3 linked regions of the Sus scrofa genome follow. The protein of the gene in region 3 purifies or fractionates together with the protein of the main gene of each other region. This does not show direct contact. Links are inferred from orthologs where the notes say so. Each region holds a gene or a part of one and is shown on either strand. Other genes may lie near its edges.

The links.
Region 1: the proteins of RFC5 (region 3) and ATAD5 purify together in Homo sapiens (affinity purification with mass spectrometry; 4 studies listed by BioGRID and IntAct, counting the BioPlex papers as one, with this or other methods). This does not show direct contact. The link is inferred for Sus scrofa from reciprocal best matches to the Homo sapiens genes RFC5 and ATAD5.
Region 2: the proteins of RFC5 (region 3) and RFC1 purify together in Homo sapiens (co-immunoprecipitation; 6 studies listed by BioGRID and IntAct, counting the BioPlex papers as one, with this or other methods). This does not show direct contact. The link is inferred for Sus scrofa from reciprocal best matches to the Homo sapiens genes RFC5 and RFC1.

What each region holds. Positions count from the first base shown.
Region 1 is NC_010454.4:42,917,576-42,921,919, reverse strand, and holds the start of ATAD5 (ATPase family AAA domain-containing protein 5), read left to right. Parts: upstream 1-1,481; 5' UTR 1,482-1,890; coding exon 1,891-1,938; intron 1,939-4,046; coding exon 4,047-4,344. UniProt on the Homo sapiens protein: Has an important role in DNA replication and in maintaining genome integrity during replication stress.
Region 2 is NC_010450.4:30,573,296-30,576,944, forward strand, and holds part of RFC1 (replication factor C subunit 1), read right to left. Parts: intron 2,236-3,649; coding exon 2,131-2,235; intron 1-2,130. UniProt on the Homo sapiens protein: Subunit of the replication factor C (RFC) complex which acts during elongation of primed DNA templates by DNA polymerases delta and epsilon, and is necessary for ATP-dependent loading of proliferating cell nuclear antigen (PCNA) onto primed DNA.
Region 3 is NC_010456.5:34,636,062-34,639,710, reverse strand, and holds part of RFC5 (replication factor C subunit 5), read left to right. Parts: intron 1-1,490; coding exon 1,491-1,570; intron 1,571-2,237; coding exon 2,238-2,311; intron 2,312-3,417; coding exon 3,418-3,577; intron 3,578-3,649. UniProt on the Homo sapiens protein: Subunit of the replication factor C (RFC) complex which acts during elongation of primed DNA templates by DNA polymerases delta and epsilon, and is necessary for ATP-dependent loading of proliferating cell nuclear antigen (PCNA) onto primed DNA.

The sequences.
Region 1 (4,344 bases), on a different chromosome or scaffold from region 3:
TTGCTGTGGGATCTTAGTTCCCAGACCAGGGATGGAACTAGGGCCAAAGCAGTAAAAGCACCTAATCCCAACCATTAGACCATCAGGAACGCCCCTATATTGCTAACTTTCATGTAAAGGAAGACAAAATGAAAGGCTTTTCTATGGATACATATACGTTCGTAAAAGTATTAATAAAGGCTGCAGTGGTATCCACGGAATAGGTGATATTGGCTACCTTTAGAGTGAAGAGACTGAGTTTTGGGGTGGAAATCAAGGACACTTTCAGATTTTTTTCTGTAATTTTCTAATTGATTTTTCCTCCTTTTCCTCCTCCCTGCTCTTGCTCCTCCTTTTTCTCATTCTCCTCTCCCTCCTCCTTGAGTGGTTGGTGTTCCCATACCCAGTGGGTTATTAAAAAAACAAACCATAACAACAAAAGAGTTTATATTTAGTGCAATCTCCCTAAAAACCACATCCAAGGCAAATAATTTTCAAAGGAAAAGTAACTACCATTTATTTCATCGGAAAAATTTGTACCCTTCATGTTGTCCAGACATAAACCATACACACAGACAATAATGTGAACAGTTAAAATCAGTTTGCATAACCCGACCTAACAAGGTGGCTTCCCGTTAATATTTGATAGGTACATTTACCTGTTTTGTTTCAGCCCTTACATATCCTGCAGATAAAACTATGGACTCAAAGAAAATAAACATACTCTTGTATATTGCAAGTTTAATGTAAAAAAGCAAAGTAAGGCAAATTCATGAAAACAATGAAAATGACGTATGAGATTATCATCACTACAAACTAGCAAACTACAGGTACCCTGCGACAGCTGGAACACACGCCAGCCAGCTGAGGCCATGAACTTGGGCTCCTGGCTTCTTGCTAGGACGAAATCCATGGGAAAAAATGCCTCCTGAGCTCAATTAGGGGTAAAGGTCAATTCTCGGACCCCTAGTAGGTAGCGAGGTAGGTCGCTTGCCAAAGTAACATTTTAAGTCGTGTGGAAGGAGTGTAATCAACAGCTATTCCCTTTCCTGTATTTTTCGAATTTACACTTAAATGGGACTAGTCTAGGTCGTCAAAAGTCTAGGGTTTTAATTCTGCCACCAACGGACTTTAGTCAAATCACATTCTCATCCGTGAAACTGGGGTGAGGAGTTTGAATCTCCAAAATCTCCGTTACTTTTACTTGTTTTTCAGCCGAACAGGTGGAATATGGACGTTTCGGGGCCAGGGATGGAATCCCAGCCGCAGCTGAGACGTACCCCACATACTCTGTATTTTGCAGCTACGGCCAGGCGAGATCCTTAGCCTATTGCGCCCGACAGGGGGATCGAACCGCTACTCATCAGCGACCAGAGCGGTTGCGGAAAACAACGATCCCAGCTACGTTTAGAGCCAAATGAATAATCCCGCCTCCGGCAGTTTCGCCTAAGAACCATTTTGGCCTTCTCGGCTCACCGTCCGCGCAGCCTCCGGAAGCGATCTAAGCTCCGCCCCCTGCGCTCCGGACGGCGCGAAAACCCAATTGACAAGAATTCCCTGGGAAGCCCGCGGGTTGGGTCTACGTTTGGCCTGGTTTTCCCTCCGAGGTCCTGGGCCCGACGTCGGAATTGGAGTGTCCTCGTTGGAGGTACCCCCCACCGACCGCGCTACAGGGTCCTCTTCGCGCTTTCTCACCACCTCTTCCCGCGTTCGAGTCAGCTGAGCTCTCGGCCCAGCCTTTGCGACCACCCGGGCGGTGGACGCGGGGGGTTCCAGGCAGACCCCGCGGCCCAGCTTCTTGCTCCCGTTGGAGCAGGCTGCCTCCATGGCCTCCAGACAGGTCGGACCGGGCTGCGTAAGGTCCTAGGAGCTGGGATTCCGGGAAGCAGGGAGCATGGTGGGGTCCTGGCCATGGCGGCTGCAGCTGCCACCCCTCCGGTGAGGGATTACGAGATTGAGGTGAGCTTGAGTATCTCTATTTGTTGGAGGTGGGTGAAAGAGGGTTCTGATCTAGGATCTATGAGGGGAAAGAAGGGACCTGGTGAGGCCCCTTTGTTGTGTCTTTGGGTGGAACAGTCGCTGGAGTGTGTCCTAAAGCCGCGGTAGGTACCCATAAACATTAGGATTGAGGATGTTGAGGGGCCTAGTTAAGGACCAGTTTATAGATCCTGAAATGTTCCTGAAACTTGATAATTTGGACTAGTGAAATGTCATGGAGTCTTCCAGGGTCAAGTCTGGATAAGGAATCACAGAACTTTAGCGTGGAAAAGAATCTTTTTGTCCACCCACCTGTGCTAGGAATAGCACTTGGTGTGTCACTACAGGAATCAAACAAGGTACATAATTTAAAAATCACTTTCTCATTGCTCTAGAACTTAAGATACTGCAGGAAGAAGTCTCAGCTTGGTATGCTGTTTATTCTTATGTGTTCTAGTTTCAGTGAAATGCACTAAAGAGATTCTAATGTCATAAAGTAGTGGAGTATCATCAAGTAGACAATTTTGCTATATTTTCACACCTTTTCATCCCAAGCTAGCCTTGTAACTGACATATGCATACTGGTGTCATTGAAGTGAGCCAAGACATAGGTTCACTCACTGAACTGGGACTGTTTCTTACTTTTTAGTATTGAGTACTTTTGGGAGTTCCTGTTGTGGCTCAGTGGTAATGAACCTGTCTAGTGTCCATGGGGTTGCAGGTTCAATTCCTGGCCTTGCTCAGTGGGTTAAGGATCTGGCATGGCTGTGGCTGTGGTGTAGGCTGGCAGCTGCAGCTCCAGTTTGACCTCTGGCCCGGGAACTTTCATTTGCTGTAGGTGCGGCCCTAAAAAGCAAAAATAAATAAATAGAATTGAGTACTTTTTGCCTTCTTGTTAATATTTGTTATGCAGATGCTTGTTTGCTGGATCAAGGCAGTTGCTGGGTTTGTCTTGGGTGTGAAGAATTTTTGATAACTTGAATTACGCAATTCTTGCTTTTTGTTTGGTCAGTTTCTGAATCTTTTTGTTACAATTTCTTCTTTTGGTGCCCTGCTTAGAGTACTATTTCAGGGCACCAAATATTGTTTAGTATTGTGACAGTAAAGGCCTTATACACATTATTTTACCTAATAGCAATCCTGTGTTGAGGTGTTATTATCTGTATTCTAAAGATGAGAGAAAGTTAAGAATTAAAAGTTGAATTAAGGTAGAAAAATAAATTAGAAAATTAAAAGTAATTTGCTTAGGGTCCCATGCTGGTAGCTTTCAGAGCCAGCACTCAAACTTAGATCTGCTTGACTCCAGAGCCTCTGGTACCATCTCAGGATAATAATAATACTAACAACTCATTAGCATTTCTTCTAATACATTTACCATTTCATTTTAAGATGTAAAGTTTTAATCTGTCTCTCTTTTGCCTCATGTTTATCCAAATGGTTAGAAATTTGCCCCAATGCTATGTATTAACTTCTTTGCCCACTAACTTGAGTGTAACTATTGTTACATTTATATATACCAAAGTCTTAAATATACATGTATCCTTTTCTAGTTTTTGTGTCCATTCTGTTAAGTTGCCTGCCTATTCATGTCACACATTCTTTCTTTTTCTTTTTTTTTTTTTTTTTTTGGTCTTTTTAGGACTACCCACGGGATATGGGGGTTCCCAGGCTAGGGACTGAATCAGAGCTGTAGTCACTGGCCTACACCACAGCCACAGCAATGCCAGATCTGAGCCATATCTGTGATCTACACCACAGCTCACAGCAACACTGGATCCTTAACCCACTGAGCAAGGCCAGGAATTGAACCTGCATCCTCATGGATACTAGTCGGGTTCATTGTCACTGAGCCACAATGGGAACTCCTAAAGCTCTTTTTCCCCCTAGTATATCATGTATATCAACTAAGGGAAGCTTCCTTTTTTTGTCCCATTACATAAAATAATAGATCCATGTTTAACATTTATGTTTTGAACTCCATATGCCACGGGGTGCCTAAAAAAGAAAAAAATACAATAGAATAAAATAAAATTTATGTTTTGTAGTATTTTGCTTGAAATAAGTGCTTTTTCCTTCTTTTAAATTGATAGGCATGCAAGAAGCGAAGGAAAGATGATGACAGAACTTCTTGTAAAACAATTACAAAATATTTATCACCAGTCAGGAAAACTGGAGACAGGGTTTTCTCTCCACCAAAATCCAGTAACATTCTGGATTATTTTAGAAAGACTTCACCCACAAATGAGAAGACCCAGACAGCAAAAAAGTACAAGATAAAGTCATCCACACCATTGCCTGCTGACCGTGGCAAAGCCTGTAAAACACCTTTGGAAATGTCCTCAAATACAGAGTGTAAGAAGAGAGGAAAGAGGCTTAATTTATCTCCTC
Region 2 (3,649 bases), on a different chromosome or scaffold from region 3:
GTTTTTTTAAAATAATATAAAATCAGTTTGAAAAAAAAAGATGAAGGAATAAGAATTTTTTGTTTTCTGACGAGTTAAAATTTAATTCCTCCAAAACACTTGTACATGAATGTTCGCAGCATCACTCTTACACTTTATATGAACAATTATATTATTATAGGCAAAAAATGGAAACAACCCAAAATGACCATCAACTGATGACTGAATAAAGTGTGACATATCCATGTAACATTAATGACCAATAAAAAGGAGTGAAGCACCAAAGCACTTCACCATAGCTGAACCTTGACAATATGATGCTAACTGAAAGAAGCCAGACACAAAGGGCCATATATTACATGTTTTCCTTTATCCAACACATCCAGAAGAGGCAAATCCATGGACAGAAAGTACAGCAGTGGTTGCCAGGAGATGGTTATGAAAGGTGACTACTAATCAGTACAGGGTTTGAGGGAGGAGTGAGGAGATGTTCTGGAAGAGACAACAGTGATGGCTGTACAAGCTTGTGAATGTACTAAAAACCACCAACGCATACACTTTAAAAGGGTGGATTTTATGATGCATTAATAATGTCTCAAAAAAAAAAAAAACATGGTGAGTGGATGCTAAAATTAGTGGGTGAATATTGAGGAAAAACAAGATCCTAGCATAGTATTAAAGCATCTCCCCAAGATATTTATTATAGAGGGGAAAACTGTCACTTTACCGGTCAGAAAACCAGGCCAAAATCTTCTTAACCGAGTAGTAAAAGTTAACATCACCAGTAATAAGATATATCGACATTAAGCACAGCTGCTAGGATGCACTGAGGAGGACACAATACACTTACGTGGTCTTCTAGTCAAAAAGGCATCACCTGATTTAATCATGAGGCAACCACAACAGCCCCACTGAGACATTCTACTCATCAAATCAAAGCCATGAAGAGACAAGGAAAGACTGGAGGAACTATCATGGACTGGAGGAGACTAAGAAGATACAGCTAAATGCAGTGTGAGATCCTCGAAAAAAGCAGCTCAGTGTGTGTGTGGGGGGGTGAAGTTCAAATCACATGTAGCTTCAGTTAACAGTGTGGTATCAATGTTAACTTCCTGGCTTTGATAACTGCACTGTAGTTAGGTAAGTCATTAGCCTTGGGGGACACGGGATGACGGGCCAATCCAAATCATTCCCCAAGCTTTTCCTAACTGGAATAAATGGAAATACCACCTTGCCACTTGGGTGACAAAGCTGGGGAGATTTAACTTGGGCTCCTGGCACCTCTGTATCTTACACATGGAAAAGACTTTTATGTAGGGGAAATGAATGAAGCTAACACTAGGAGTAGAGAGACAGAAACTGAAAGGGCCCTAAAAGCACTGTAGTCAGTAGACTCAGTCAGTAGTTCCTACATCAGACTCACTCTGCTCATGGTTTAGCAATGTGAGTCCAAATTTTTCCCTTTCTGCTGAAGCTAATAAGGGCTGGGTTCCTGTTACAACTGAAAAAGTCTTAATACAGTTCTAACTGAAAATGATTTTATCCCGCTGACACCTAAAATATATTCTTTAAAGAACTCTTGAGCAATAATCTTTGTACAGTTATTCCAAGAATATGGAAAATAAAACAGTTTAATAAGTAGATATGACAAGTGCAATACATTATCCTCTTTCTCTCCTCATACTCCTTTGACAAAGGTAAGGAAATATGTCAAAGACAACAGCCTAAAGCAGAGTCCCCCTGTTCAAAAGGAAATAAGGGGGAGTTCCCATTGTGGCTCGGCGGTAATAAAGCCAACTAGTATCCATGAGGATAAAGGTTCAATCCCTGGCCTCACTCAGTGGGTTAAGAATCCGGCACTGTCCTGAGCTGTGGTGTAGGTGGTAGACTCAGCTCAGATCTGGCATTGCTGTGGCTGTGCTGTAGGCCAGAAGCGGTACCTCCGATTCAACTCCTAGCCCAGGAACTTCCATGTGCCAGAGATGTGGCCCTAAAAAAAAAATTAATTCAAAAGGAAATAAGGAAGTTCATTTGCAATAGAATGAGAAATTAAGTCTTTTAGCCCAGAGGTCTGTATCCATCCAAGAAATATCTCTATGAAACAGGAAAGTTGCTATACACCAACTTAAATAAATAAAGTTTCATACAAACCTCAGCCTCAACTGCTATTTCATACTTGGACTTCTTGCCTGGCATAGTTCGAATCAGATTCAATAGGCCATCCTCATCAATAATTTTTGTTCCCAAGGCTGCTGCCTATTGATTGAAAAGGCAAATCATTAAAACCACATCCTAACCATTAATTTCTGCAAAAATATATATAATGATTCTCAGACTTGTCAGGAGGTAAAAAACATTCATAAATTACATAATACTGGAATATTTTTAAAACCATATTCACGAAAAAAAAGTAATACTAAAAAGAAAGAAAATAACAGATACCTCCCCGAGGAGTGGCGGATTGGCACTTGAAATGTACACACCACTTTTGCAGACTGCTTTTCCTTTCCAATACCCTACAAAGGGCAGCGCCACAAGGGCCTATTCCAGCTCTTCACACCTTCTCCCAGGGTTGATCTGCTGGCAAACATTCTCTCCCACCTTCTCCCTTGCTGACAGAACACCAATGTGTCCATCTCCAAGTGATGAGTTATAAGAATCACAAAAGTCCTAGGAGTTCCTGTCGTGGCTCAGGGGAAATGAACCCAACTAGTATCCATGAGTATGCAGGTTCCATCCCAGGCCTCACTCAGTGGGTTAAGGATCCAGTGTTGCCTTGAGCTGTGGTATAGGTCACAGATGGGGCTCAGATTTGGTGTTGCTGTGGCTGTGGCAGAGGCTGGCAGCTACAGCTCCAATTCGATTCCTAGCCTGAGAACTTCCACATGCCTTGGGTGAGGCCCTAAAAAAAAGGAAAGCAAAAAAACAAAGTCCTCATCCTCCTCAACCTCCCGTAGAGCTCTGAATGGCTATGTGATGCTCTGGCCAATGAGACTTAAGTGGAATTCTACAAGAGGTGTTTCTGGGAAAACTCTCATAAGTTCAATCCCAGCTAGTACAACACCTGCTCCCTATTTCCTGCCTTGAACGTGACCTTGACAGCTGCAGCTACCTTGCAACACAAGGTAACATGCGCGAAGACTAAAGCTACGCAATAAGGATGACAGAAGTGGAGAAGGGAACTGGCCTAGTTTACAACCCTGAGCTGCTGCACCTGCCTACCTCTAGAACTCTTGTAAGATAAGGAAATAAGCAGCTATTTGTCAAAACCACAGTAAGTCAGGTATTCTATCACTTAGAACTAAATGCAATCCTATCTGACACACCTTCCAATAAAGAGCGCTTCCAATAAAAAAACAAGATGGAGTCCAAAGCAGCACATATAGCAATACTTAGGACTAACTAACTGCATTTGCTTGTCTTCAAAAAAAGATTTTAACTAGAACAGTACACTAAGACAGCCAAGTAAACAGGAACTGTGCCTTCAGCTGGAAAACCAAAATCCTGGGGTCGAAGCCAAACAATACTTCTGTGGAGAAGAAATAATGTAGGAAAGAAATTACTTTTCCATGTTTTTCTTTCATTTCATTCTATGTAGAAGACATTATTGCAAATGGTCACATGCAAGCCCCTGCCAAGGCAAGCAGGCTATTTCACTCTGCTGAGAACA
Region 3 (3,649 bases):
CTATACCACAGCTCACAGCAACTCGAGATTCTTAACTCGCTGAGTGAGGCCAGGAATCGAACCTGCAACTTCATTGTTCCTAATTGGATTCGTTTCTGCTTCACCACAACAGGAACTCTTCTTCTAGTTTTGTTTTATGTTACGAGTTAGTTGCTCTGCTGGTGGTTGGGAAAGAAGCAGACATAAGATATTTCAGTTCAGTTTTTTCTTTGACATTTTGGCCTCGATTGGTATTAACTAGAGGACAGTGGTAGGGCTAGGTGTTTTTCTTTGCTCTTGCCAACTTTTACCCAAACACTCAATGGTCACTGAGTTGCTGGCCCTCTCCTGTGCGCCCACCCCACCCCACCCCCAATCCCTTCTCCATGTTGCTCCGCCCTGTTCTTGCCCTGGAAGTCTCAGGTCTGTTGACTTCAAGCTCTCCTGCCCTCTGGCTCCTGGTGAGGTTTGGGTCCAGTGGGGGCCCTGGCAGGAGTTGGGGAAAGGAAAATGATGTCTGGTCCTGCTCTGGGGTCGCCACAGGCTGATAGCTTCCCCACCCGGAGGGCACAGCACTCAGCCCTCCCCAGGTGCCAGCACCACTCCCCACCAACTCTTTTAGACCTGGGGGTAATGATGGGCTCCATTAGCCTCTGAAGTATTACATAGACCTTGTGGTTTCCCCACACCTCACCAGCACCTTCTTTTTTTTTTTTTTGTCTTTTGTCTTTTGTCTTTTCAGAGCCATACCCACGACATATGGAAGTTCCCAGGCTAGGGGTCAAATTGGAGCTGTAGCCACCAGCCTACACCACAGCAGCTCGGGATCCGATCCGTGTCTGTGACCTACACCACGGCTCACCACCGGATCCTTAACCCACTGAGTAAGGCCAGGGATCAAACCCTCATCCTCATGGATACTAGTCAGGTTCATTAACCACTGAGCCACGACAGGAACTCCCCTCACCAGCACCTTTTAAAATCTCTCTTCATTTAATTTGCTTCATTTACTGAATTTGAGTATGGGGACTAGATTGATACACTTAGATAATGAAATTCTAAATATTGTCTATTGTACAAAAAAAAGTTTAGCTTACCTTTTTGTTAAAGATCTTGGAACCTTGCTGCTACCAGTGTTCTTACTTCCATGTATTAAAAAACTTGGTAATGTATGGGTTGCTCTGGCTTGTGGTAGCTAAAATTTATATCATTCTGCATGTGCCAGAAGTGCTGTTCACTGTGACCGGACCAATTAATTATTCCTCTTGTCAGTGATTGTCCCCAAAAAGGGGAGGAAAGAAAGTCATTTACCTTTCAGAATATATAGTAATGATCTAGTGAGTTGTGATTCTTAAATATAATTGTGACCTTGTTTTTAATGATTATCTCATATCTGTCCTTAGACCTTGAAACCTAGCTTGCTGAACAGGACTGATGAAAAGATACAGTAATTCATGAATAGCACACCAACATGTTTTCTATTCATTCTGGCTTCTCTCTTTCACATTTAGCTGAATGCTTCAGATGACCGAGGAATAGATATCGTTCGGGGACCAATCCTGAGCTTTGCTAGCACAAGGACAATATTTAAGTAAGAATTCTTTGCATAATTTCTCCCCCTAAAGATTTTGATCAGTGAGATGATAGAGTTTAATTTTTAAAACTCTCTCCTTTGCCAGTTTGTAAAGGTTTAAAAAAAAAAAGAAAGCAAACTTTGTCAAAAGCAGCCATGAAAAAGAGAAAAAGCACAGGAATGGTAGTAAGAAATATTAAAGTAAAATATTATCTAAATCTGTATTAGAAGTTCTCTGGGGAAGCAGTAGTTTCACTTAATTAGTTAACAGGGCTGGTTACATCATCAAACTGGATGAACTAGTTTGAATTTAAACAAAGTGAACTGAGATCAGGGTGGATAACTAGGATGGTGGAAAAAAAGGAAAAAGATGAGAAGACAGGCTTAAGTAAAGGTGGAGGGGAAAGCAGCACTGGAACAATAGGCTCCTTTGGGGAAGAAAGATGGAGGTGCCAGAGGACATAGTCTAACACAAATACGGAAATTAGAGTTCATTCTCTTTGAGATTTGAAGCAGGGATGGGGTGTTTGCTCCGTGTGACCACAGGTGGCTGCTCTGGTCAGAGTTCTCAGAGAAACGAACTCTGAGACAGGGCCTGATGGCACAGATGTGAAGGTGTAGGTTTGGGCCTGGAAGTCGAAGTGAGATGGAAGAAACCTTTAGGTGGTACCATTTGTTTTCCTAGGAAGGGCTTTAAACTAGTGATCTTGGATGAAGCTGATGCCATGACTCAGGATGCCCAGAACGCCTTGCGGAGAGGTAAGGAGCACTGCTGTGTGTGTCAGTGTTGGCTGAGGCATGCTTTGGAAGAATTAAGAACTCTAGACATGATGTAGGACGTGGCTTCTTTCAAGTTTTTATTCATCTTCTGGCCAAGAGAAATCTCTGTATGCCTTTCACCATGTATCCCACCTGATGAGCTAGACAAAAATCTCTGTATCAGGGGTAACCCCTCAGTAGGTTAAAGACATAAGCCCTTTGGGGACTTTAAGGTATGACACACTGGGGTTTCATCTGCCTTTTCTACTACGGTCAGTTTTAGGGTTGGGCATTTATATTGTTTGATGGGCTAGGCCTCTCTGCTGCTGGTACCTTTAGATACAAAATGGCCAGGGAACAAATACTAGAAATTTAGTTGCACTCAGAAAACTGACATTACTTCACCCTTTCCAAGAGAATGGTGTGGCAGAGGAGGGAGAGTGTACTGTGATTTGTCAGTCTTAAGGTGCCTGGTGCATTTAATTTCTCTGCAAGTACATTTTTAATCTCTCTCATGAAGATTCTGCAGTAAACAGCTAGGAGAGAAGATCTTTAGGGGTTCTGGGGAGGAGTGGAGAGCAGCCCATGTTTAAGAGGAGGAGGAGGAATATCTTCTGGTCCTAGAAGCTTTGGCAGCCTTCCTTCGTCATGTTGTGTGGGGGTCTGTCTGGACAGGTCCCAGCCTGTGAATATTGGTAGCTACAGGATGAAACCGCTGTCACAAGCATCTCTGAATCTGGGTTACCGCTCTCTTGAATGCTCTAAGGGTTTGAGACAAGGTCCACCGGGAAATCCACAAAAAGCACCCCCTCCCCCACCCACTAGAAGGTGGAGCATCATCCATCTGCCAAACAGAACTTTATGCCAAAGGACAGGATTACTAGGTTTCCTATCTTAATGGAATGGCATGGCAAGAGTGCCAGAATCGTGGCCAGCCATGGAAAAGGAAGCATTTTGTACAGTCCTGAGGAGGTGACACATTCACCAGGTCTGGAAAGAGAGTGGCTGATTTCCAGTCTTTGACCCCCTCCAGGGACACCCTCTGGGTTTCTGGGTCCTTTGAAGACTCCGAATGGATGTGAGGTAGTTTTCTTTTCCCTTGCCAGTGATTGAAAAATTTACTGAAAATACCAGATTTTGCCTCATCTGCAACTATCTGTCAAAGATCATTCCCGCCTTGCAGTCGCGGTGTACAAGGTTCCGATTCGGCCCCCTGACTCCTGAACTCATGGTTCCCCGCCTGGAACATGTTGTAGAAGAAGAGAAGTAAGTATGTTAGAAAGTAGGGCAAGGGGAGGGCCTTGGGGACTGAGTGTAGTATAAGGCGACCAGCTGGTA